3 linked regions of the Arabidopsis thaliana genome follow. The protein of the gene in region 1 interacts with the protein of each later gene in a pairwise test. Each region holds a gene or a part of one and is shown in the gene's direction. Other genes may lie near its edges.

Region 1 (7,366 bases):
ATATGCTTTGTTTTACTTTTATAGCCCCCTCGATTACGAAACACGTATAGTTTGGTATCAAGACAATTGTAGAGATTATGTATGGTGAGAAATTCATATCTTTGCAGTCACCTTAAACGCAATCTATTTGAGATTTGTGAAATCAAGAAAGTAATTATATAAAAAAAAAAGATATATAACGAATCGCGAAAAATTATTACTAAGTTTATTTTTTGGGAGATAAATGATATATTCCCCAAGTAATTTACGTAAATTATTTTAAATGAACTATTAAGTCAATTATATATTTAAAAGAAATCTTAAAACTGATATCCTAATTTATGAAAAAAAAATAATAATTTAAATCTGCTTTCCCAAATATTAAATGAACTATTAAGTCAATTCTTTAAAAATAACAGTTTAATATTTTTTTGAAGATCAAAATTACTACTTACTATCTTAAACATATATAATAGTCAATCAAAAACAAATTCAAAATTAAAAAACCCACTAGCACATCATAAAATTTAATTTAGCTACTCTTAGGAAAAGTGTTATTCAAAATAAATTTCCCAATTTATTTTTCTAGATTTGCTGTTTATCATTTATTTTGGAAAGCGATTAATTTTGGATATTATAAGTTTCATGAATCACTAGTGTAAGTTAGCGAGTATGATTCCGGAGCGTAAGACCCACGCGCAGTAGACGAAGACGGAAGCAAGCACCTTCTACTTCCTCTTCCTCTTTGTCTTTAAACCCCTCGTCGTCTTTCTCCCGTGTTCTAACCTCATTCCTCCATAACCCCTTTCTTCCTTTTGAATCTCTCCTTCTTCTTCTTCATCCCCAAATTCGAAACCCTAACCCTAAAACTCAGTTTCAAAATGGCTGAACCAATCACCAAGGAGCAGCCTCCTCCACCTGCTCCGGACCCTAATTCCACCTACCCTCCTCCGTCCGATTTTGATTCCATCTCGATCCCTCCGTTAGATGATCATTTCTCCGATCAGACTCCGATTGGTGAACTAATGTCCGATCTGGGGTTTCCCGATGGTGAATTCGAGCTCACTTTCGACGGTATGGACGATCTTTACTTCCCTGCTGAGAATGAGTCGTTTCTCATCCCTATCAATACGTCCAATCAAGAACAGTTTGGTGATTTCACTCCGGAGTCTGAAAGTTCTGGAATTTCCGGTGATTGTATTGTTCCCAAAGATGCAGATAAGACTATTACAACTTCCGGTTGCATTAACCGGGAATCTCCTAGAGATTCCGATGATCGTTGCTCCGGTGCTGACCATAATTTAGATCTACCGACTCCATTGTCCTCTCAGGGTTCGGGTAATTGCGGTTCTGATGTTTCGGAAGCTACAAATGAATCGTCGCCTAAATCGAGAAACGTTGCGGTCGACCAGAAGGTTAAAGTGGAAGAAGCTGCTACGACGACGACGTCTATTACCAAGAGGAAGAAAGAGATCGATGAGGATTTGACTGACGAGTCTAGGAACAGTAAGTACAGGAGATCGGGAGAGGATGCTGACGCTAGTGCTGTTACCGGTGAAGAAGATGAGAAAAAGAGAGCTAGACTCATGAGAAACCGTGAAAGTGCTCAGCTTTCTAGGCAGAGGAAGAAGCATTACGTCGAGGAGCTTGAAGAAAAGGTTAGGAATATGCATTCTACGATTACGGATTTGAACGGTAAGATATCGTATTTCATGGCTGAGAATGCTACTCTAAGGCAGCAATTGGGTGGCAATGGAATGTGCCCGCCGCATCTTCCACCACCTCCGATGGGAATGTATCCACCTATGGCTCCAATGCCTTATCCATGGATGCCTTGTCCTCCTTATATGGTGAAGCAACAAGGATCTCAAGTGCCTTTGATTCCTATTCCTAGGTTGAAACCACAGAACACCCTTGGAACATCCAAGGCTAAGAAGTCCGAGAGTAAGAAGAGTGAAGCTAAGACCAAGAAGGTGGCTAGTATTAGTTTTCTGGGTCTTCTGTTTTGTCTATTTTTGTTTGGTGCATTAGCTCCAATTGTGAACGTTAATTATGGAGGAATTAGTGGTGCTTTTTATGGGAACTATAGATCTAATTATATTACTGACCAGATTTACAGTCAGCATAGGGATAGAGTTTTGGATACATCTCGTAGTGGTGCTGGTACTGGGGTTTCTAATAGTAATGGGATGCATCGTGGGAGAGATTCTGATCGAGGAGCTAGGAAAAATATATCTGCAACAGAGAGTTCTGTCACTCCTGGAAATGGTAGTGAGCCTCTAGTTGCATCACTCTTTGTTCCGAGGAATGACAAGCTTGTGAAGATAGATGGGAATTTGATTATCAATTCTATATTGGCGAGTGAGAAAGCCGTGGCTTCGAGAAAGGCTTCTGAATCAAAGGAGAGGAAAGCTGACTTGATGATCTCTAAAGATTATACCCCTGCACTGCCTCTACCTGACGTGGGAAGGACAGAGGAATTGGCTAAGCATCTCTATAGATCTAAGGCTGAAAAACAGAAAGCTCTATCCTCTGGCTCTGCTGATACTCTGAAAGACCAAGTCAAAACAAAAGCAGCCAACGGTGAAATGCAGCAATGGTTCCGTGAAGGTGTTGCAGGTAATCATGGGTTTTTGATCTTACTTTCTGTTCCCTTGACTTGGTTATGTAGGCAGGCATTGTAGGTATACTAGTCCTTATCATATCTTGATATTAGACACAAGAACATTTTAATGAGGCTTAACTTACCTTCAGCAAATCTCTGGTCATGAGTAGATGTATTGTATAATCTGGATTAGATACTAAACACTAATAAGGAACATGTGAAATTGTTACTCATATTGTATATTTTTCTTCATCTTTCTCGGCAGAAGCTGTAAGCGCAGTAGTAGCGTTTATATCTTTCTTGTTCACTAAATAATAACACCTTTTTTGTTTGTTAAATGACTATATTGTAGGTCCCATGTTTAGTTCAGGGATGTGCACTGAAGTGTTTCAGTTTGATGTATCCTCAACCTCTGGAGCCATCATTCCTGCAGCTACCAACGTCTCTGCTGAACACGGTAAGAACACCACAGACACACACAAGCAACAGAACAGAAGAATCCTTCGTGGTCTTCCCATTCCACTCCCAGGATCAGATTTTAACCTCACGAAAGAGCACCAAAGAAACAGCAGTAGCAAAGAAATCAAGCCTGCTTCATCAATGGTTGTATCTGTGCTTGTTGATCCCAGAGAAGGAGGTGATGGAGATATAGATGGGATGATTGGGGGACCAAAATCACTGTCTCGAGTTTTTGTAGTCGTGCTTCTGGACAGTGCAAAGTATGTAACATACTCCTGTGTCCTACCTCGATCAGGAGCTCCTCATCTTGTGACCACTTGAAGACATATGAGGATTGAAACATATATCAGCAGGTCTTCTCTCATATAGGCTTTGTATGTAAAAGAATAAATACCTGCTCTCTGGTATCACGTAATATCCTTAGCTAATACCGTTGTCCGGTTTTTGTTTCCAGATGTAGAATCCGAATGCTGTAACTTTTTTTTTTTACCTTTTATAAACTCATAGCCTTAGAAAGTTTTATCAAACCTCTCATATACATTGCAAAAGTCGATGACCAAAAAATGTCATTCTACAATAGAAGCTGAAATCCAAGTAGACAAAAGTGATCAGTTAGTTGATTCCATGGTTTGAGCCAAGGGGGCATCGGTGATAGCAGGAGAATATGAGCACACAAGTGACAGAAGAAGAAGTCTTTACCTGAAGGTCGACGGAGAGAGAATTGGATTAGCATGAACCCTCAGATTCATGAACCTGAGCTCACTTTTAAAATTTCTTTATTTCATTGTCAGAAAAAGAGAGCTAATAATATTATTATTTAAATGTAACAAGTAGGCCTATAACACGTGAACTTCCCTCTTTGCAAAAAAAAAATCATCAAAAACTTTTACCTCTCATTGGTTTCTTCTTTATCACACTGTTACGCTTGGATTCTCATTTCTTCAAGTTCATAACGCTCGGATCAATCAGGAAGACGAACTTGAACTTTCTTTTTTTCATCATTACCCAAAGCTATGAGGCTCACACCACCAATAGCTCCGCCGTCATGAATCCTTCTCTTCCAGGTACTGTGCCGTCTCGGGATAACAAACTTTCTATTTATTCTCTTCTGATCGGATCTATCTATCGATGAAGATTGATTTCACTACTTTAGTAACATTTCATCTGATCGATCTGTGTTGTGTTATCGAGGAATCAATCTCATTTTGTAGATTCAATTTTCTGGATAGATTTTGTATCTCTTTTCCATAGCTCTAGTCCAAATCTAGTCTCCACTGATATCTGAGTTTTGTTGACCAGGTCAACACAAGTCAGAGCTCCAAAAATGGAGTCATGCGATTGTTTTGAGACGCATGTGAATCAAGATGATCTGTTAGTGAAGTACCAATACATCTCAGATGCGTTGATTGCTCTTGCATACTTCTCAATCCCACTCGAGCTTATCTATTTCGTGCAAAAGTCTGCTTTCTTCCCTTACAAATGGGTGCTTATGCAGTTTGGAGCCTTTATCATTCTCTGTGGAGCTACGCATTTCATCAACCTATGGATGTTCTTCATGCATTCCAAAGCCGTTGCCATTGTCATGACTATTGCTAAAGTCTCTTGCGCGGTTGTGTCGTGTGCTACCGCGTTGATGTTGGTTCATATTATTCCTGATCTTCTCAGTGTTAAGAACAGGGAATTGTTTCTCAAGAAGAAAGCTGATGAGTTAGATAGAGAAATGGGTCTTATTTTAACACAAGAGGAGACTGGTAGGCATGTTAGGATGCTTACTCATGGAATTAGAAGAACTCTTGATAGGCATACTATTTTAAGAACCACTCTTGTTGAGCTTGGTAAAACTCTTTGTCTTGAGGAATGTGCGTTGTGGATGCCTTCTCAAAGTGGTTTATATTTGCAGCTTTCTCATACTTTGAGTCATAAAATACAAGTTGGAAGCAGTGTGCCGATAAATCTCCCGATTATTAATGAACTCTTCAATAGCGCTCAAGCTATGCACATACCTCATTCTTGTCCTTTGGCTAAGATTGGGCCTCCGGTTGGGAGATATTCACCTCCTGAGGTTGTTTCTGTCCGTGTTCCTCTTTTACATCTCTCTAATTTCCAAGGCAGTGACTGGTCGGATCTCTCTGGCAAAGGTTACGCTATCATGGTCCTGATTCTCCCAACCGATGGTGCAAGAAAATGGAGAGACCATGAGTTAGAGCTTGTAGAAAACGTGGCGGATCAGGTCCATCTCTTTACTTGTATATGTTTGGTTGTGTGTCAAGTTGCTTTACCAGCTTTTAGTGTTTTGTTTTGTCCCCTGACTCTCACTTCATTCAGGTGGCTGTGGCTCTCTCACATGCTGCAATTTTGGAAGAATCCATGCACGCTCGTGACCAGCTTATGGAGCAGAATTTTGCTTTAGACAAGGCTCGTCAAGAGGCTGAGATGGCAGTACATGCTCGAAATGATTTCCTAGCTGTTATGAACCACGAGATGAGGACACCGATGCATGCCATCATCTCTCTTTCTTCTCTTCTCCTTGAGACTGAGCTGTCTCCAGAGCAAAGAGTTATGATCGAGACAATACTGAAAAGCAGCAATCTTGTGGCTACACTAATCAGCGACGTTCTGGATCTTTCGAGATTGGAAGATGGGAGCTTACTCTTGGAAAATGAACCATTCAGTCTACAAGCGATCTTTGAAGAGGTAACTAAATCCCCCTGATTAACCAGTGAAGTCCATTATATATGTCTTACATGAATAACATGGGCGCTTTGAATCTGCAGGTCATCTCTTTGATAAAGCCAATCGCATCAGTGAAGAAACTATCAACGAATCTGATTCTGTCTGCAGACTTACCAACTTATGCTATTGGTGATGAGAAACGTCTGATGCAAACAATTCTTAACATCATGGGCAACGCTGTGAAATTTACTAAGGAAGGCTACATCTCCATAATAGCCTCTATCATGAAACCCGAGTCCTTACAAGAATTACCATCTCCAGAATTTTTTCCAGTTCTCAGTGACAGTCACTTCTACCTATGTGTGCAGGTTAGACCCAATCTACAAATTACTAAACTACAAAGTTAAGCTTCTTACTGTGTTCTTACTGTTATAATCATGGTGCAGGTGAAGGACACAGGGTGTGGAATTCACACACAAGACATTCCTTTGCTCTTTACCAAATTTGTACAGCCTCGGACCGGAACTCAGAGGAACCATTCCGGTGGAGGACTCGGGCTAGCTCTCTGTAAACGGTAACAACCCAAAAGTATATATAAGTTATAAGCAGATGGTGTTACAAATAGCTAAAAGGCAAGTTTCTGTTGATGGATGTCTCTGGTTAGGTTTGTCGGGCTAATGGGAGGATACATGTGGATAGAAAGTGAAGGCCTAGAGAAAGGCTGCACAGCTTCGTTCATCATCAGGCTTGGTATCTGCAACGGTCCAAGCAGTAGCAGTGGTTCAATGGCGCTACATCTTGCAGCTAAATCACAAACCAGACCGTGGAACTGGTGATACATTACGTTGGAAAGACTTGTATTGAGGTGAGACTTTTTAACTACACAGCAGCAAGAGAAAGAAGAAAATACATGACCGGACGGTGTGATCTAACTTATTGGATTTTGTTGGATGTAATATGTAAAATAAAAATCCTATATACGGGGAGAGGTACCTTATCTGTTCTCACTATATTTTATTGAACATTACTTTAGAGAATATGTTTTGGAATTCACTACTAAATAAACGATATAAATCTTCACGAAAAGAGCAACATTTTGTGGTTGTGGCAGATTCACAAATTCTTTTTTATATATGATAAATTACCTTAGAAAGTTTTACTTACTCATCAAACTTCTCAAATACATTGCAAAAGTCGATGAAAAGAAAAATGTCTTCTACAAAATAAACAAGGAAGCTCAATGAGACAAAGTGATCAGTTAGCTGATTCCATGGTTTGAGCCAAGGGGGCATTGGTGATAGCCATCTTCATGTCAAGAGGATATGAACCACTGCTTTGTTCTCGAATCTCTCTGTATTCTTGGCAAATGGCACACAAGTGACAGAAGAAGTGTGTTACAAAATCCCCACATGGAGCCTCCTGAATCAAAGAATGTTAAATCAGTCAGAAGCGCCACATACATACCTAATGGTATTATCCACATATGTGTCGTTTGAGAAATTCTAACCTGTAAATTGTACTTGGCTCTTAATGATTTGCGGTACCCGCAAGCATAACATGACACAAAGCATCCCGGTAGACCGAGCAATGCGCCATTAGTTGCAAAGCAGCAAATGGTATTGACCAAAGCCCAGGAGATGCAATGGGTTA
Region 2 (9,833 bases), on another chromosome or scaffold:
TTATAGAAAATCATTACATAATCTCGAATTGTTTAAGTTACTTAAAATTCATATGTCTCCTCCTAAAACATCCCCGATTCGATCTTATTCTTCTGGTCTCCACGTAATAACTCACATACATTAAAAAAAGAACAAAAATAAAGAAAACCCACTTGATTAAACGAAAACATTTGTTGAATCGAACCAATTAATTGAACAATAAACGAGTTCTGATTTGTAACTGACGTCTCATGTTTCGAGGTTAATTACTAAAATTTTCAAATCTCCAATTCTTATGAACCCACCCACCATGTGTTTTAAGCCCAAGAGAGATTCAGTGAACCAAGAAGGAAAATAATTTAAATTGTCCCTTACACTAATGAAAGGTTATGTTAACAAAAATCCATTTTATTAATAGATTGATAGTACTAATAAATAAATATTTGGACACAAAGCCCAAAAGATCACAATCTAGTTAAAAAAAGATCGACAAGAAAGATTCTTTAAGCTGATGAATGATCTGTACCATGTAGCTTTGTTCCCTTTTTGGTTAACTGCCCAAACAACATCAACGAGACTTTATAAAAAAAAAACTTCCTTATGACCAAACTAAATAACTGAAATTGATTTATTAGTCAAAACATATTAAAGAACTTATTTGTATGATATCATTATACATTCCATATGTAACTGAAATATGACTATCTTGACTCTTTGAAGAATTCTGACTTTTTTTATTCAGTCAAACTTTTAAATTGTGTTGGTTACTCATCGGTACGGATAAAAAAATTCGTATGTGTTATTTCAAAAGTACTTGAAGAATATTGTTTCTATATATATTTATAGTGTTATAAAAAAACAAGTGTGGTCTCTATGTTATGGTTCATTGAACATATACATCAACATAGGACTGAGAGGAGCCCATGTTCCTTTCATTGATGCAAAATTTTAGTTTCTTGTGTTTTAATTTGCTTCCTATCCAATGTACATGTATATATACTTTCACAAGAGAATATGGATAATGTTGAGTATGTTAAATATATAGTGACAAGTTACATAAAAAAAGCCTAAAGAAATCAAATTGGAAAAAATAGTAAGGTACAATGTATGGTTATCGAAAGCCCAAGCTGTACTTCCATTGATGTAGGAGATGATTAGGAACACGTGGATTATATTTGACCAAAAATAGTAGAAATTCTATTTATATTTGTTTTCTTCTTTTGGTTTTGGGTTTGATTTTGTGATTTGGATAGTTCGGTTAAGGATGGTTTGATCAATCAATATAACCATACTAAAATATGATTCAGTTAACTAACTATAGTAACTGTTTCTTCGTTAGTAAAATGATACATTTATTGGAATCTATTGACAAATCTTAATGACTTATTATAACTGGTGATAACAAAATCTAGCTATTATTTTGTATCCAACTACATATTTTGTATAAAATGGAAATTCGTATATGATATTTGTTTAGTTTAAAAGTAGAGTGTATTTGTTTTTTCAATGATGATTTAATGAAATCAAGCTCTTAGTTGAGATCAAAAGACAAATAAAACAAAATGTTTTTTTTTGTTTTGTTTCTTTTCTATTTGAGGGAAGGCCATGAATTCTTATTTTTGACAAATAGTTGTTCTATGCAATTAATATTGATGTCTAATACATATACAGCAGAATAAATAAAAACTTGCTATATAAAGACGTATTATTTATAGCATTCTGTGGAGTATAATGTCGAATCCTGTTCTCATTTCCGATTTTACATATTTATGGTACTAACGCCTTCATTTATTTTTCCATTTTCGTTAGTCAACAACTTCAGCTTTTGATAACGCCTAATTGTATCATCAACTTTAGTTAGTTTTCTCAAATAACGTCATTTTCAAATAAAGTTTTTGATTTCTCTTTTATTATATTTATGCAAAAGGAAAATTATAATTTCAGTATTTTGCAGAACGCTGAAATGTATAATAGAACCTATTCATGTATTTTTGTAAAATTTTAAAGATTGTTTTAATACTAAAATAAGTAAATCATTAAAAAAATTCCTAGACATTGGTCTCTAATATAAGATAAATAGATCTAAATTATGTTTGGATTTTAATTCTAATAAAAAGGTAGCCAAAAGTTATATATACAATATTTAAACAATTTTATTTGTTTAAGATTTGAATTTTATAGTATGCGAGAATCGCGTAAACTTTTCTCGAATGTAACAAAAAATTTCAAATCTTCTCGACACATGTAATCTTTTGCGAGTTAGAAGATTTGATTCCTTATTTTTTGTTCGTATTCTTAAAGTTAGTCACGTTTATATTATTTTTCGCTTTGTAACCGTCCCTTTAAATTTTTAATAAAAATTAAAAAAATTGCTAGAAAACAACATTTTTGTATTACTCAAATCAAAAGTACAAAAATAAATTTAGCTAGCGTTTCACAAAATCAAGTAAAATAATCTCCATTTGAAACTCCATAATCAAGCTGTTTGATGTATTATTATTACATGTAATGAGGAGAAAGAGGGGTCGAGAAATTTAAAGTAATAATAATTCTCTTCTTCGTCCATGGAATAAACTACGATTAGTTTAAAAAGATTAATAAAGATGGATTAAAGAAACTATATGTTAAACCTGGAAAATTTATTTAAAAAGACGTTTTTTTAGCTATAAGAAAAAAAAGAATAATACCTTTATTTTTACATGTTATTTACAAGTAATAATTTTTTTTTTCTCTCTCTCTCTTTGAAGGTGGCACGAGCACCCATAACCTTCAGACCTATAGATACAAATATGTATGTATACGTTTTTTATATATAAATATTTTATATAATTGATTTTTCGATCTTCTTTTATCTCTCTCTTTCGATGGAACTGAGCTCTTTCTCTCTTTCCTCTTCTTTTCTCTCTCTATCTCTATCTCTCGTAGCTTGATAAGAGTTTCTCTCTTTTGAAGATCCGTTTCTCTCTCTCTCACTGAGACTATTGTTGTTAGGTCAACTTGCGATCATGGCGATTTCGAAGGTGACTTCTTTCAAAAACCCTAATCCTCTGTTTTTTTTTTTATTTTGCTGGGGGGCTTTGTACGGACTTTCATGGGTTTTTGTAGCTTTTCCCTCGGCTTTTGCGCAAATGAGACTTTCTGGGTTTTTTTTCCAGCTTTTTATAATTTCATCAGGTGGATCGAATTCGTAGTTTCAGCTTAGATCTCTCTCCCTCTTCATTATCTGGACTTTCCAGACTTGGAGTTCTTCGGGATTGTTTTCGGTTTCTGGGTTTTGTTTTAATTGCGAGATTTAAGCTTTTTTCTTTTTTACTACTGTACTTGGTTTGTGGTTGACCTTTTTTTTCCTTGAAGATCTGAATGCGTAGATCATACGGGATCTTTGCATTTTTGTTGCTTTTCGTCAGCGTTACGATTCTTTTAGCTTCAGTTTAGTTGAAATTTGTATTTTTTTTGAGCTTATCTTCTTTTTGTTGCTGCTTCATACTAAGATCAATTATTGATTTGTAATACTACTGTATCTGAAGATTTTCACCATAAAAAAAAAATTCAGGTCTGAAGCTGATTTCGAATGGTTTGGAGATATCCGTAGTGGTTAAGCATATGGAAGTCTATGTTCTGCTCTTGGTTGCTCTGTTAGGGCTTCCTCCATTTGGACCAACTTAGCTGAATGTTGTATGATCTCTCTCCTTGAAGCAGCAAATAAGAAGAAGGTCTGGTCCTTAACTTAACATCTGGTTACTAGAGGAAACTTCAGCTATTATTAGGTAAAGAAAGACTGTACAGAGTTGTATAACAAGTAAGCGTTAGAGTGGCTTTGTTTGCCTCGGTGATAGAAGAACCGACTGATTCGTTGTTGTGTGTTAGCTTTGGAGGGAATCAGATTTCGCGAGGGAAGGTGTTTTAGATCAAATCTGTGAATTTTACTCAACTGAGGCTTTTAGTGAACCACGACTGTAGAGTTGACCTTGAATCCTACTCTGAGTAATTATATTATCAGATAGATTTAGGATGGAAGCTGAAATTGTGAATGTGAGACCTCAGCTAGGGTTTATCCAGAGAATGGTTCCTGCTCTACTTCCTGTCCTTTTGGTTTCTGTCGGATATATTGATCCCGGGAAATGGGTTGCAAATATCGAAGGAGGTGCTCGTTTCGGGTATGACTTGGTGGCAATTACTCTGCTTTTCAATTTTGCCGCCATCTTATGCCAATATGTTGCAGCTCGCATAAGCGTTGTGACTGGTAAACACTTGGCTCAGGTAAACATTTTTCTGATCTCTAAAGAACAAACTTTTTAAAATAACAAACTGGGCTCTGTGGTTGTCTTGTCACTTTCTCAAAGTGGAATTCTACTAACCACCTTCTCTATTTTTCTAACATTTTAATGTTCTTTACTGGGACAGATCTGCAATGAAGAATATGACAAGTGGACGTGCATGTTCTTGGGCATTCAGGCGGAGTTCTCAGCAATTCTGCTCGACCTTACCATGGTAGTTACTTACAATCTTTGCTGTTCTTAATTTTTTTATTATGTGATAAAATTTTGATTCCTCTGACTTGAGCTTCTCTATTATAAACAGGTTGTGGGAGTTGCGCATGCACTTAACCTTTTGTTTGGGGTGGAGTTATCCACTGGAGTGTTTTTGGCCGCCATGGATGCGTTTTTATTTCCTGTTTTCGCCTCTTTCCTTGTATGACTGGTCTTCCTGTCTTGTTTTTTTTCTCCACGTTCTTGAAATAGCATTATTGGAAATTAGCTGACATGCATACAATTTCTGACAGGAAAATGGTATGGCAAATACAGTATCCATTTACTCTGCAGGCCTGGTATTACTTCTCTATGTATCTGGCGTCTTGCTGAGTCAGTCTGAGATCCCACTCTCTATGAATGGAGTGTTAACTCGGTTAAATGGAGAGAGCGCATTCGCACTGATGGGTCTTCTTGGCGCAAGCATCGTCCCTCACAATTTTTATATCCATTCTTATTTTGCTGGGGTACCTTTTTTCTCTTTATATGTATCTCTCTTTTCTGTTAAGAAGCAATAATTATACTAAGCAGTGAACGCTCTATTACAGGAAAGTACATCTTCGTCTGATGTCGACAAGAGCAGCTTGTGTCAAGACCATTTGTTCGCCATCTTTGGTGTCTTCAGCGGACTGTCACTTGTAAATTATGTATTGATGAATGCAGCAGCTAATGTGTTTCACAGTACTGGCCTTGTGGTACTGACTTTTCACGATGCCTTGTCACTAATGGAGCAGGTTTGTTCTGACGGTTTTATGTTCGTATTAGTCTATAATTCATTTTTAGGGAAAATGTTCAGAAATCTCTCGTGATTATTAATTATCTTGTTCTTGATTGTTGATCACAGGTATTTATGAGTCCGCTCATTCCAGTGGTCTTTTTGATGCTCTTGTTCTTCTCTAGTCAAATTACCGCACTAGCTTGGGCTTTCGGTGGAGAGGTCGTCCTGCATGACTTCCTGAAGATAGAAATACCCGCTTGGCTTCATCGTGCTACAATCAGAATTCTTGCAGTTGCTCCTGCGCTTTATTGTGTATGGACATCTGGTGCAGACGGAATATACCAGTTACTTATATTCACCCAGGTCTTGGTGGCAATGATGCTTCCTTGCTCGGTAATACCGCTTTTCCGCATTGCTTCGTCGAGACAAATCATGGGTGTCCATAAAATCCCTCAGGTTGGCGAGTTCCTCGCACTTACAACGTTTTTGGGATTTCTGGGGTTGAATGTTGTTTTTGTTGTTGAGATGGTATTTGGGAGCAGTGACTGGGCTGGTGGTTTGAGATGGAATACCGTGATGGGCACCTCGATTCAGTACACCACTCTGCTTGTATCGTCATGTGCATCCTTATGCCTGATACTCTGGCTGGCAGCCACGCCGCTGAAATCTGCGAGTAACAGAGCGGAAGCTCAAATATGGAACATGGATGCTCAAAATGCTTTATCTTATCCATCTGTTCAAGAAGAGGAAATTGAAAGAACAGAAACAAGGAGGAACGAAGACGAATCAATAGTGCGGTTGGAAAGCAGGGTAAAGGATCAGTTGGATACTACGTCTGTTACTAGCTCGGTCTATGATTTGCCAGAGAACATTCTAATGACGGATCAAGAAATCCGTTCGAGCCCTCCAGAGGAAAGAGAGTTGGATGTAAAGTACTCTACCTCTCAAGTTAGTAGTCTTAAGGAAGACTCTGATGTAAAGGAACAGTCTGTATTGCAGTCAACAGTGGTTAATGAGGTCAGTGATAAGGATCTGATTGTTGAAACAAAGATGGCGAAAATTGAACCAATGAGTCCTGTGGAGAAGATTGTTAGCATGGAGAATAACAGCAAGTTTATTGAAAAGGATGTTGAAGGGGTTTCATGGGAAACAGAAGAAGCTACCAAAGCTGCTCCTACAAGCAACTTTACTGTCGGATCTGATGGTCCTCCTTCATTCCGCAGCTTAAGTGGGGAAGGGGGAAGTGGGACTGGAAGCCTTTCACGGTTGCAAGGTTTGGGACGTGCTGCCCGGAGACACTTATCTGCGATCCTTGATGAATTTTGGGGACATTTATATGATTTTCATGGGCAATTGGTTGCTGAAGCCAGGGCAAAGAAACTAGATCAGCTGTTTGGCACTGATCAAAAGTCAGCCTCTTCTATGAAAGCAGATTCGTTTGGAAAAGACATTAGCAGTGGATATTGCATGTCACCAACTGCGAAGGGAATGGATTCACAGATGACTTCAAGTTTATATGATTCACTGAAGCAGCAGAGGACACCGGGAAGTATCGATTCGTTGTATGGATTACAAAGAGGTTCGTCACCGTCACCGTTGGTCAACCGTATGCAGATGTTGGGTGCATATGGTAACACCACTAATAATAATAATGCTTACGAATTGAGTGAGAGAAGATACTCTAGCCTGCGTGCTCCATCATCTTCAGAGGGTTGGGAACACCAACAACCAGCTACAGTTCACGGATACCAGATGAAGTCATATGTAGACAATTTGGCAAAAGAAAGGCTTGAAGCCTTACAATCCCGTGGAGAGATCCCGACATCGAGATCTATGGCGCTTGGTACATTGAGCTATACACAGCAACTTGCTTTAGCCTTGAAACAGAAGTCCCAGAATGGTCTAACCCCTGGACCAGCTCCTGGGTTTGAGAATTTTGCTGGGTCTAGAAGCATATCGCGACAATCTGAAAGATCTTATTACGGTGTTCCATCTTCTGGCAATACTGATACTGTTGGCGCAGCAGTAGCCAATGAGAAAAAATATAGTAGCATGCCAGATATCTCAGGATTGTCTATGTCCGCAAGGAACATGCATTTACCAAACAACAAGAGTGGATACTGGGATCCGTCAAGTGGAGGAGGAGGGTATGGTGCGTCTTATGGTCGGTTAAGCAATGAATCATCGTTATATTCTAATTTGGGGTCACGGGTGGGAGTACCCTCGACTTATGATGACATTTCTCAATCAAGAGGAGGCTACAGAGATGCCTACAGTTTGCCACAGAGTGCAACAACAGGGACCGGATCGCTTTGGTCCAGACAGCCCTTTGAGCAGTTTGGTGTAGCGGAGAGGAATGGTGCTGTTGGTGAGGAGCTCAGGAATAGATCGAATCCGATCAATATAGACAACAACGCTTCTTCTAATGTTGATGCAGAGGCTAAGCTTCTTCAGTCGTTCAGGCACTGTATTCTAAAGCTTATTAAACTTGAAGGATCCGAGTGGTTGTTTGGACAAAGCGATGGAGTTGATGAAGAACTGATTGACCGGGTAGCTGCACGAGAGAAGTTTATCTATGAAGCTGAAGCTCGAGAAATAAACCAGGTGGGTCACATGGGGGAGCCACTAATTTCATCGGTTCCTAACTGTGGAGATGGTTGCGTTTGGAGAGCTGATTTGATTGTGAGCTTTGGAGTTTGGTGCATTCACCGTGTCCTTGACTTGTCTCTCATGGAGAGTCGGCCTGAGCTTTGGGGAAAGTACACTTACGTTCTCAACCGCCTACAGGTAACAAAAACCGCAGTAGTTCATTGAAAATCACAGTTTTGCAGTTTGAAAATATTGACATGTATGGATTTAAACAGGGAGTGATTGATCCGGCGTTCTCAAAGCTGCGGACACCAATGACACCGTGCTTTTGCCTTCAGATTCCAGCGAGCCACCAGAGAGCGAGTCCGACTTCAGCTAACGGAATGTTACCTCCGGCTGCAAAACCGGCTAAAGGCAAATGCACAACCGCAGTCACACTTCTTGATCTAATCAAAGACGTTGAAATGGCAATCTCTTGTAGAAAAGGCCGAACCGGTACAGCTGCAGGTGATGTGGCTTTCCCAAAGGGGAAAGAGAATTTGGCTTCGGTTTTGAAGCGGTATAAACGTCGGTTATCGAATAAACCAGTAGGTATGAATCAGGATGGACCCGGTTCAAGAAAAAACGTGACTGCGTACGGATCATTGGGTTGAAGAAGAAGAACATTGTGAGAAATCTCATGATCAAAGTGACGTCGAGAGGGAAGCCGAAGAATCAAAACTCTCGCTTTTGATTGCTCCTCTGCTTCGTTAATTGTGTATTAAGAAAAGAAGAAAAAAAATGGATTTTTGTTGCTTCAGAATTTTTCGCTCTTTTTTTCTTAATTTGGTTGTAATGTTATGTTTATATACATATATCATCATCATAGGACCATAGCTACAAACCGAATCCGGTTTGTGTAATTCTATGCGGAATCATAAAGAAATCGTCGGTTTGAAATGTTAAATCTCCTAAACCGGATCTCTGCACGTAGCTGACACATCGACGCTAGATTACTGACACGTGTCCTTATCAATATTTCTTCTCGAAACGTCTTACTGTTTCATAAAGTCCTTCAAATTTCTGGGGAACTAAGAAAATCCAGCAGAGTAACTAATCCAATGGGTTATGTAATCTACATATCGTTCCCGGCGATTCTTCTCCTTCTGATCGTCGCTATCGCCTTTTATCTCATCGGACGAAAAATCGGCCGGAGAGAAGGGATTCAATCAACGTCGCAGTTACACTACGGACCGCCGTTGGCTAATTTTCCGGCACCTGCACCACCGCATAAAGCTATGGAGAAGCCACCGGAGCCGGTTTAGTGTATGTATGATGACGTAATAATACTTACGTATTACGTAAACGTTCTATATATGTAGTTTGTGTGTTAAATAAGATGTAATTGGGCCGATGCTGAAACCAATTTTAAAACAACTCTTTATTGGGCCTGGGGTTTAAGGAAACACTTCGTGCCGTTTAAATTCCGTACTCACCTAATGCAACCTAGAAACTACGCAGCGTTTTGACGGAAGAAGAAATATTCGCTTCTTCTTTTACAACTTTTGTCCCACAACGCAGAAAAGTCCTCTCTTTCTCTCTCTCGAATAATAATTTTTCATTTGCTGCGTCCTTTTGGTGCTTGAAGCGATGACCATGGCAGCAAATCTAGCGCGACGGCTGATCGGAAACCGATCGACTCAGATCCTTGGAGCCGTGAACTCTAGCTCAGGTGCGGCTAGTTCTGTCGCTAGGGCTTTCTGCTCCTCCACCACTCCGATCACCGCAACTCTCTTCCCTGGCGATGGGATCGGTCCCGAGATCGCCGAATCTGTCAAAAAGGTCCCTCATCCTAATCTCTTTTCTGCGCAGAATTTCGAGTTCTGGAAGTCATAGTTACGAGATAATTGTTTGATTGAATTTTGTACGATAATTTGTGGGAATTCGGCAATTTTGTTGATAGTTTTTGCGTTTTGTACTGATCCAGGTGTTTACAACAGCTGGTGTACCAATTGAGTGGGAAGAACACTATGTTGGGA
Region 3 (7,153 bases), on another chromosome or scaffold:
ATTCCGCTCCGAGACCCGCCGGATAGTCCATTAGCGCCGCAATGGTACCGTCTCGAAGGTGGTGGAGCTCACAACAGTGATCTAATGCTTGCCACGTGGACAGGAACTCAAGCAGACGAATCATTCCCCGACGCGTGGAAAACTGATACAGCCGGAAACGTGACCGCACGAGCGAAGGTTTACATGTCGTCGAAGCTGTGGTATCTACGCGCTACCGTGATAGAAGCACAAGACTTGTTACCGCCTCAGTTAACGGCGTTTAAGGAAGCGTCATTTCAGTTAAAAGCTCAGTTAGGTTCCCAAGTTCAGAAAACCAAATCCGCCGTTACTCGTAACGGAGCTCCGTCATGGAACGAAGATCTACTCTTCGTAGCCGCCGAACCTTTCTCCGATCAGCTTGTTTTCACGTTGGAGTATCGAACATCGAAAGGACCAGTCACCGTCGGAATGGCTCGCGTGCCACTCAGCGCAATCGAGAGACGCGTCGACGATCGCTTGGTTGCTTCGAGATGGTTAGGATTGGAAGATCCAAACGACGAGAAGAGAGGAAACAGATCTAGAGTTCACATTAGGCTTTGCTTCGACGGAGGTTATCACGTGATGGACGAGGCGGCGCACGTGTGCAGTGATTACCGACCTACGGCGAGGCAGTTATGGAAACCAGCGGTGGGAATCGTCGAGCTCGGTATAATCGGTTGCAAAAATCTATTACCGATGAAGACGGTTAACGGAAAAGGATCAACGGACGCGTACACGGTGGCGAAATACGGTTCTAAATGGGTCCGTACCCGAACCGTGTCGGATTCTTTAGATCCGAAATGGAACGAACAGTACACGTGGAAAGTATACGATCCGTGTACGGTTTTGACTATAGGAGTCTTCGATAGCTGGGGAGTATACGAAGTCGACGGTGGAAAAGAAGCCACGCGTCAAGATCTAAGAATTGGAAAAGTACGTATACGTATATCGACGCTGGAGACTGGTAAAGCGTATAGAAATACGTATCCGTTACTGATGTTAGTTAACGGCGGCGTTAAAAAATTGGGAGAGATAGAATTGGCCGTTAGATTCGTGAGAACAGCTCCACCGTTGGATTTCTTACACGTGTATACTCAACCGTTATTGCCTTTGATGCATCACATTAAACCGTTGAGTTTGTTTCAAGAAGATATGTTGAGGAACACTGCAGTGAAGATCTTGGCCGCACATTTGTCACGATCTGAGCCGCCTTTAAGGCCGGAGATAGTACGGTATATGCTCGACGCCGATACTCATACTTTCAGTATGCGTAAAGTCAGAGCAAATTGGCTTCGGATAGTGAATGTAGTCGCCGGAATGGTCGACGTGGTGCGGTGGGTTGATGACACCCGTTTCTGGAAGAATCCGACATCAACTTTACTAGTTCACGCACTTGTCGTGATGCTGATTTGGTTCCCGGATCTTATCGTACCGACATTAGCGTTTTACTTGTTCGTGATTGGTGCGTGGAATTATAGGTTCAGGTCACGTGCTGCTCTACCACATTTCGATCCAAGACTCTCGTTAGCTGATGCAGCTGATAGAGACGAGCTCGACGAGGAGTTTGACGTCGTACCGAGCAACCGACCACCGGAGATGGTTCGGTTGAGGTACGATAAGCTACGAAACGTCGGAGCTAGAGTTCAAACGATTCTTGGTGAAGTGGCTGCGCAAGGGGAGAAGATGCAAGCTTTGGTGACGTGGCGTGACCCACGAGCGACTGGTATATTCGTGGGGCTGTGTTTCTTTGTGGCGTTGGTGTTGTATCTTGTGCCGACGAAGATGGTGGCTATGGCGTCAGGGTTTTATTACTTCCGGCATCCTATTTTCCGTGATCGGAAACCTTCTCCGGTGTTAAATTTCTTCCGGCGACTACCATCATTATCTGATCGGCTCATGTAATATTGTTTTTTTTTTTGGAGGGGATGTATATATAGTTTGGGTCGTTTAACCTTGTTGGGCCTTATTGGGTTATAATGGGCCACTAAATGGATTTTTATATGATTTCCTATTATAGGTGCTGTGTTTGACCATGTCTAAAACAAAGAAGTGTTTGGTATGACAAAATTGATGAACCTACTTTTTGAGCAGAGTGGTAAATGTGCGGAAATAAGCACACAAGGAAATCGTTGTTGGTGACTAACAAAAGGAGTTATCCACTGCCCAAGCATTACCAACTACCACCAACCAAACTCAATTTGGAAATTTCAAAGGTCCATTAGTCAAAGCAGCATTAAGTCATTCAGTAATCAACAAATATATTCATATGAAACCCAAAATAAAATAAAATAAACACTTTTCAAGAAAAAAATAAAATACTGAGTACTAAACTGGAAACCCTTTATAAGCAAAAAGACCAAAAGTTAAAAGTTAATTAAGATTTGGTTTAAGGCGCTTTGCTTTATTAGAGAGGAAGGAACGAACCATCATAGAAATCTCTCCTTCGTTCAAGTTTTTCTCTACTGTGTTGGTTGAGCAATCGAGTGATGGTTATTGCGGTGGCGACGACGAGCTCCATTGTTTCCGGAATCAAGCTTTCAGGGATCTTAACTTCGTTCAACGCCGTAGATGATGCGTCCAGTAGTTGCGGAAGAAGCAACTTGACCGGAGTTAGAATTTTTCCGACATTGAGTCGGCGACGATTCTCATCGATCGGAGCTGTTTCCCCAATTCGTGGGGATGCTCAATCTTCCTTTAGTCGCAGGTAAAGCCTCGATTTTTGGGTTTAGGTGTCTGCTTATTAGAGTAAAAACACATCCTTTGAAATTGTTTGTGGTCATTTGATTGTGCTCTTGATCCATTGAATTGCTGCAGCTCTTTCGCTTGCTCTCAGAATCTCGGTTTGAGCGGTGGATTTAGTGCAGCTGAAGCTCTGCCACCTGCTTGTGCAAATGCTAGCCCTTCTTCCATTAAATCTTTCAACCAGGTGACTCTTCATTTCTATTTTCAGGATAAGTTTGTGGTTTGATGATCCCTTGTTTCTAAGTCTCTTGATTTGTGAACAATTCAGGGTTTTTATATATCTGTATCTGTATTTCTGAGTTGGGTTGAGTTATTGGCTTCATGCTGACTAAACATGTTTGGCCCTGTGTGTTCTTCGAATTTCATTTTAATTGCTTGATGGGTTTTATTGACTTGAGTAAAAGTGTACTACTTTATAGGTTTTAAAAGAGTTTTACTTTTGGTGATTTTCCAATGGCTTTGAAGAGAGAGATTTAAATCATGGGGTTACTATGTTCTCATACTGCGTTTGCTCTGTTCTGTTGTTTTTCTTTCAGTTGATTGAAACCTTGATTGATCGGGTTGATCTATCTGAAACTGAGGCTGAATCATCTCTTGAGTTTTTGCTGAATGAGGCAAACGAGGCGCTGATCAGTGCCTTTCTAGTTCTTCTGAGAGCTAAAGGAGAGACATACGAAGAGGTAAGTATCCATTAAGTCAATCTAGGCTTATAATAAAAAAGTATACATAATCCTATATTACTGCACTTCAATAAGTTAACTCAACGTTCACTTTAATTCGGATATTGGGTAGATTGTGGGGTTAGCTAGGGCAATGATGAAGCATGCCAGGAAAGTGGAAGGATTAGTTGATGCTGTGGACATAGTTGGAACAGGTGGTGATGGAGCAAACACAGTCAATATATCAACTGGATCTTCAATACTTGCTGCAGCTTGTGGTGCAAAAGTAGCAAAGGTATAACGAATGAGAAAATCCTTAAAAGAAACGATATATTTAAATTTTGACTATCTGCATTAATGCTAAATGATCTTCGTCTGGTCGTCTAACTAATGGATACTTATTTTGCAGCAAGGGAATCGTTCAAGTTCTTCTGCTTGTGGAAGTGCTGATGTACTAGAGGCACTAGGAGTGGTTCTGGACTTGGGACCAGAGGGCATTAAAAGATGTGTTGAAGAAGGGGGGATCGGTTTTATGATGTCACCAATGTATCATCCAGCTATGAAGATCGTTGGTCCTGTTCGGAAAAAGCTTAAAATTAAAACTGTTTTTAACATATTGGGACCTATGCTTAATCCTGCTAGAGTTTCTTATGCTGTCGTTGGTGTATACCACAAAGATCTGGTACATTTACTTATTGCTGAAATTAGTTTGTTCATCAACAAAAACAAGACATTTACTTACCATTTGCTTGTGTGGTTTCATAGGTTGTTAAGATGGCAAAGGCACTGCAACGATTTGGAATGAAAAGAGCACTGGTGGTTCATTCATGTGGTCTAGACGAAATGAGTCCGTTAGGTAAGATTATCTCTTCCCAAAATTGATTACTTTTATTATTGAACAATTATTAACCAATCATGGCTTAACGAAAAACAGGAGGAGGACTAGTTTATGATGTAACTCCGGAAAAGATCGAAGAATTCTCATTCGACCCATGTAATGTTTCCTCTAGCTTTTTATCCCTTCTCTAAAATGAATATTGCAGATGCAGCTTAATGAAATTGAAGCTTATTTCTTTTTGACAGTGGACTTTGGTATTCCTCGTTGTACTCTTGAGGATTTGCGAGGTGGAGGTCCAGACTACAATGCGGATGTGCTAAGACGTGTGCTTTCAGGGGAAAGTGGAGCAATTGCGGATTCATTGGTATGTTTTGATTTGCCGATTCAACATTCTCTGAACTTCTGCAATTTGTTCATCCTTTTTTTTCAAAATCTTGTTTCAGATCCTAAACGCAGCTGCAGCTCTTCTGGTTAGCAACCGAGTTCAAACGCTAGCTGAAGGAGTAACCGTGGCACGTGAAGTACAATCGTCTGGGAAAGCTATCAAGACGCTTGATTCTTGGATAAACATCTCAAACTTAGCTCAGAAATCTCAGTGACCAGAAGAGGCTTATGATATTGTTGTATTCAACGGATCACCTTTGCAAGCAATTGTAGATGAAGATGGAGGCAATGTGCCAAAGGAAGAAGCTGGAGTTATTTGTAACTTAAGTTTTCTTTGTCAAACAATAAAGAGAAGAGACCGGAGCGAGCTCTATACACATTCATCATGTAAACACTACAACAATAATCTTTAATAAAATGAATAAATCTGTTTTACTCAAACGGAGTTCAGATTCATCATTGGGATACAAATCAAACCTAAGTAGTAAGTAGAAAAACAAAATTATAAAATTAGTCCTAACATTGAATCACAGACCATAATCTTGTTCCGAAGTTCTTCACTAATTCTGCAACTACACCTAAAATATCATCATCGTCATGGTGTCTATTCTTTGGAGACTTTCACACGCATCTCTGTCGGTTTGATGAGCTTGAACGTACAAACATCTCCGACCAGTAAACCTAACTCCTTGGCCAAACGACTCCATCCACCAGAGAATCTTGATTGTACATCAGTGACCACATATGTAACATCCCATGACTTCTTTCCTCTCGGATAATGAATCTTGAACATCGTTGTCTCAGTTGGCATATGCATATCCACAAATTTCTTTGGGATCCCCTGAATCACAGATTTTCATTAGATTAATACACACTTTTATACATAGCCATTTCGACAGTGTGTCACTGGTCTTGTCTTGCTTAATCTTACCAAGAACAGAAGGTGTGATTTCTTTATGGTGAGCTTGAATTCTGGAATAAGAGATGAAGTACCGGCTTCAGAGTCGTTACTAACAGTTTCCACCTTCTTCTTCTTACTCGTCTTGGATTTTTCGGTTTTATCGGCTTCCTTCTTTCTCAAGTTAAGCTCCTGTTTCTGCGTCAATCTCCCACTTGTAGATTCAGCTGTTTTGTGACAAGGATGGCTCGATTCAGACCAAGACTCTATCTCTTCTTCCTTCTTCACATCTTTGTAGATGCTCTTCCTCTCTTCTCTCTTGTTCCGACCTGTTTGCATCAAAATCAACCACAGAAGTAACTAATGACTGTATTCTTCTTCTTCTTCTTCTTAAGCATAAAGAAAGCAATAACATAGATGATGAACACTTACCGGAACTAGAAGTAATGGTTTTTCTTGGTCTAAGCATCTCCGTACCATCTGCCTCGAATATGGTTACATTAAAGCACATATTTGCCTCATGAGTGAAAGTAAGATACTCGTTTTCACCCAAACCGTTGTCATTCACAAACTGGTTCCATCCACGATCTTCCATGTAGTGAAAATTTGGGTTCTTGGAGATTTTAACTTGCCATGACCTTCCCCATGGTACTCTTAAGACCATCTTAAACGATGAAGACTTGTCGGAGATGCTTCTTATCAAGTGATGAGGAATCATTCTCTTCAGAGAGGCAACAAAATCAAGAAATATGGAACATCAGGAAATGGTAAAATGAAGTCACATTCCTCAATTTCAGTGATAAGTACAGTAAATAAAAGTTTACTGATCGATGTACAGTCAAAATCCATTTGGTCCGATCCGATCATTTCACACATCAAAACTTAGTTAAGACCAAGAACAGACAGATCTAAGTTCAGGACACTACAAGAGACACACTGAAGAACCAATAGATTCGATCTTTAATTTAAGAAAAAAGGCTAATAAGAAAATAAGTGATAAGGCTTACCATCATTTCAGTCGAATGATCTTCCCTTCGAAGAATCTTGAAGAATGCTGGATTATCTCTTTCTTCCATAATCTGACCAAAAAAAGCTTTGTTTTTCACCATCTCTGCTTCTCTCCTTCGATATGATCTTTCTTCAAAACCTCTCAGTCTTAACTCTTTAATCCTCTTCACTCTATCTCCTCAGTCACTCACTCGCATCTTCTCTTTTCAACTTTTCTATCTCACTCACTCGCTACTTCTCTTTCTCTCTCTCTGGTTGTGGGCAAAGAATGGGTAAAAAGAGAGGTCTCTTAAAACTTTAATTTCTAAAAACAGCCAAAGTGTTTTATTTTTCTGCATTAACTTTGAAATTAATTTTACTTGTGGTTAGTTGGAAAAGATTCCCATGAATCATTAAACTTTTGTGATTCGTAATTTGATATCGTAATGATACACAGAAACAGCAATATGCTCGTGACTTCCCAGACACGTAAAAAGCAGAGCAAATTCCTATTTTTAGTAACTGAATTCTAAAAAGACAGCGTCATATTTCCATATTTTTTTTTTTGGTTGCATAAACTATTAATTAACTTATACTGTACTAAAATACATTCACGGCAAATTTTGG

Evidence for each region.
Region 2: the proteins of ERS1 (region 1) and EIN2 come close enough for resonance energy transfer, tested with the Arabidopsis thaliana proteins (one study listed by BioGRID).
Region 3: the proteins of ERS1 (region 1) and TRP1 interact in a two-hybrid assay, tested with the Arabidopsis thaliana proteins (one study listed by BioGRID).

Annotation. Positions count from the first base shown.
Region 1 is NC_003071.7:17,083,821-17,091,186, reverse strand, and holds ERS1 (ethylene response sensor 1), read left to right. Parts: upstream 1-3,860; 5' UTR 3,861-4,107; intron 4,108-4,342; 5' UTR 4,343-4,367; coding exon 4,368-5,273; intron 5,274-5,368; coding exon 5,369-5,737; intron 5,738-5,817; coding exon 5,818-6,084; intron 6,085-6,162; coding exon 6,163-6,290; intron 6,291-6,380; coding exon 6,381-6,552; 3' UTR 6,553-6,866; downstream 6,867-7,366. Other genes in the region: BZIP17 (Basic-leucine zipper (bZIP) transcription factor family protein), read left to right, coding at 861-2,598, 2,937-3,364; AT2G40935 (PLAC8 family protein), read right to left, coding at 6,971-7,135, 7,224-7,366. UniProt on the Arabidopsis thaliana protein: Ethylene receptor related to bacterial two-component regulators. Acts as a redundant negative regulator of ethylene signaling.
Region 2 is NC_003076.8:784,599-794,431, forward strand, and holds EIN2 (NRAMP metal ion transporter family protein), read left to right. Parts: upstream 1-2,829; 5' UTR 2,830-2,999; intron 3,000-3,532; 5' UTR 3,533-3,990; coding exon 3,991-4,239; intron 4,240-4,383; coding exon 4,384-4,470; intron 4,471-4,560; coding exon 4,561-4,671; intron 4,672-4,762; coding exon 4,763-4,975; intron 4,976-5,056; coding exon 5,057-5,242; intron 5,243-5,352; coding exon 5,353-8,013; intron 8,014-8,090; coding exon 8,091-8,468; 3' UTR 8,469-8,806; downstream 8,807-9,833. Other genes in the region: IDH-V (isocitrate dehydrogenase V), read left to right, coding at 9,445-9,636, 9,782-9,833. UniProt on the Arabidopsis thaliana protein: Central factor in signaling pathways regulated by ethylene (ET) and involved in various processes including development, plant defense, senescence, nucleotide sugar flux, and tropisms.
Region 3 is NC_003076.8:5,954,826-5,961,978, forward strand, and holds TRP1 (tryptophan biosynthesis 1), read left to right. Parts: upstream 1-2,254; 5' UTR 2,255-2,504; coding exon 2,505-2,722; intron 2,723-2,832; coding exon 2,833-2,944; intron 2,945-3,296; coding exon 3,297-3,440; intron 3,441-3,552; coding exon 3,553-3,714; intron 3,715-3,828; coding exon 3,829-4,101; intron 4,102-4,184; coding exon 4,185-4,275; intron 4,276-4,353; coding exon 4,354-4,413; intron 4,414-4,502; coding exon 4,503-4,621; intron 4,622-4,700; coding exon 4,701-4,856; 3' UTR 4,857-5,245; downstream 5,246-7,153. Other genes in the region: AT5G17980 (C2 calcium/lipid-binding plant phosphoribosyltransferase family protein), read left to right, coding at 1-1,920; VDD (VERDANDI), read right to left, coding at 5,246-5,482, 5,573-5,868, 5,972-6,260, 6,547-6,648.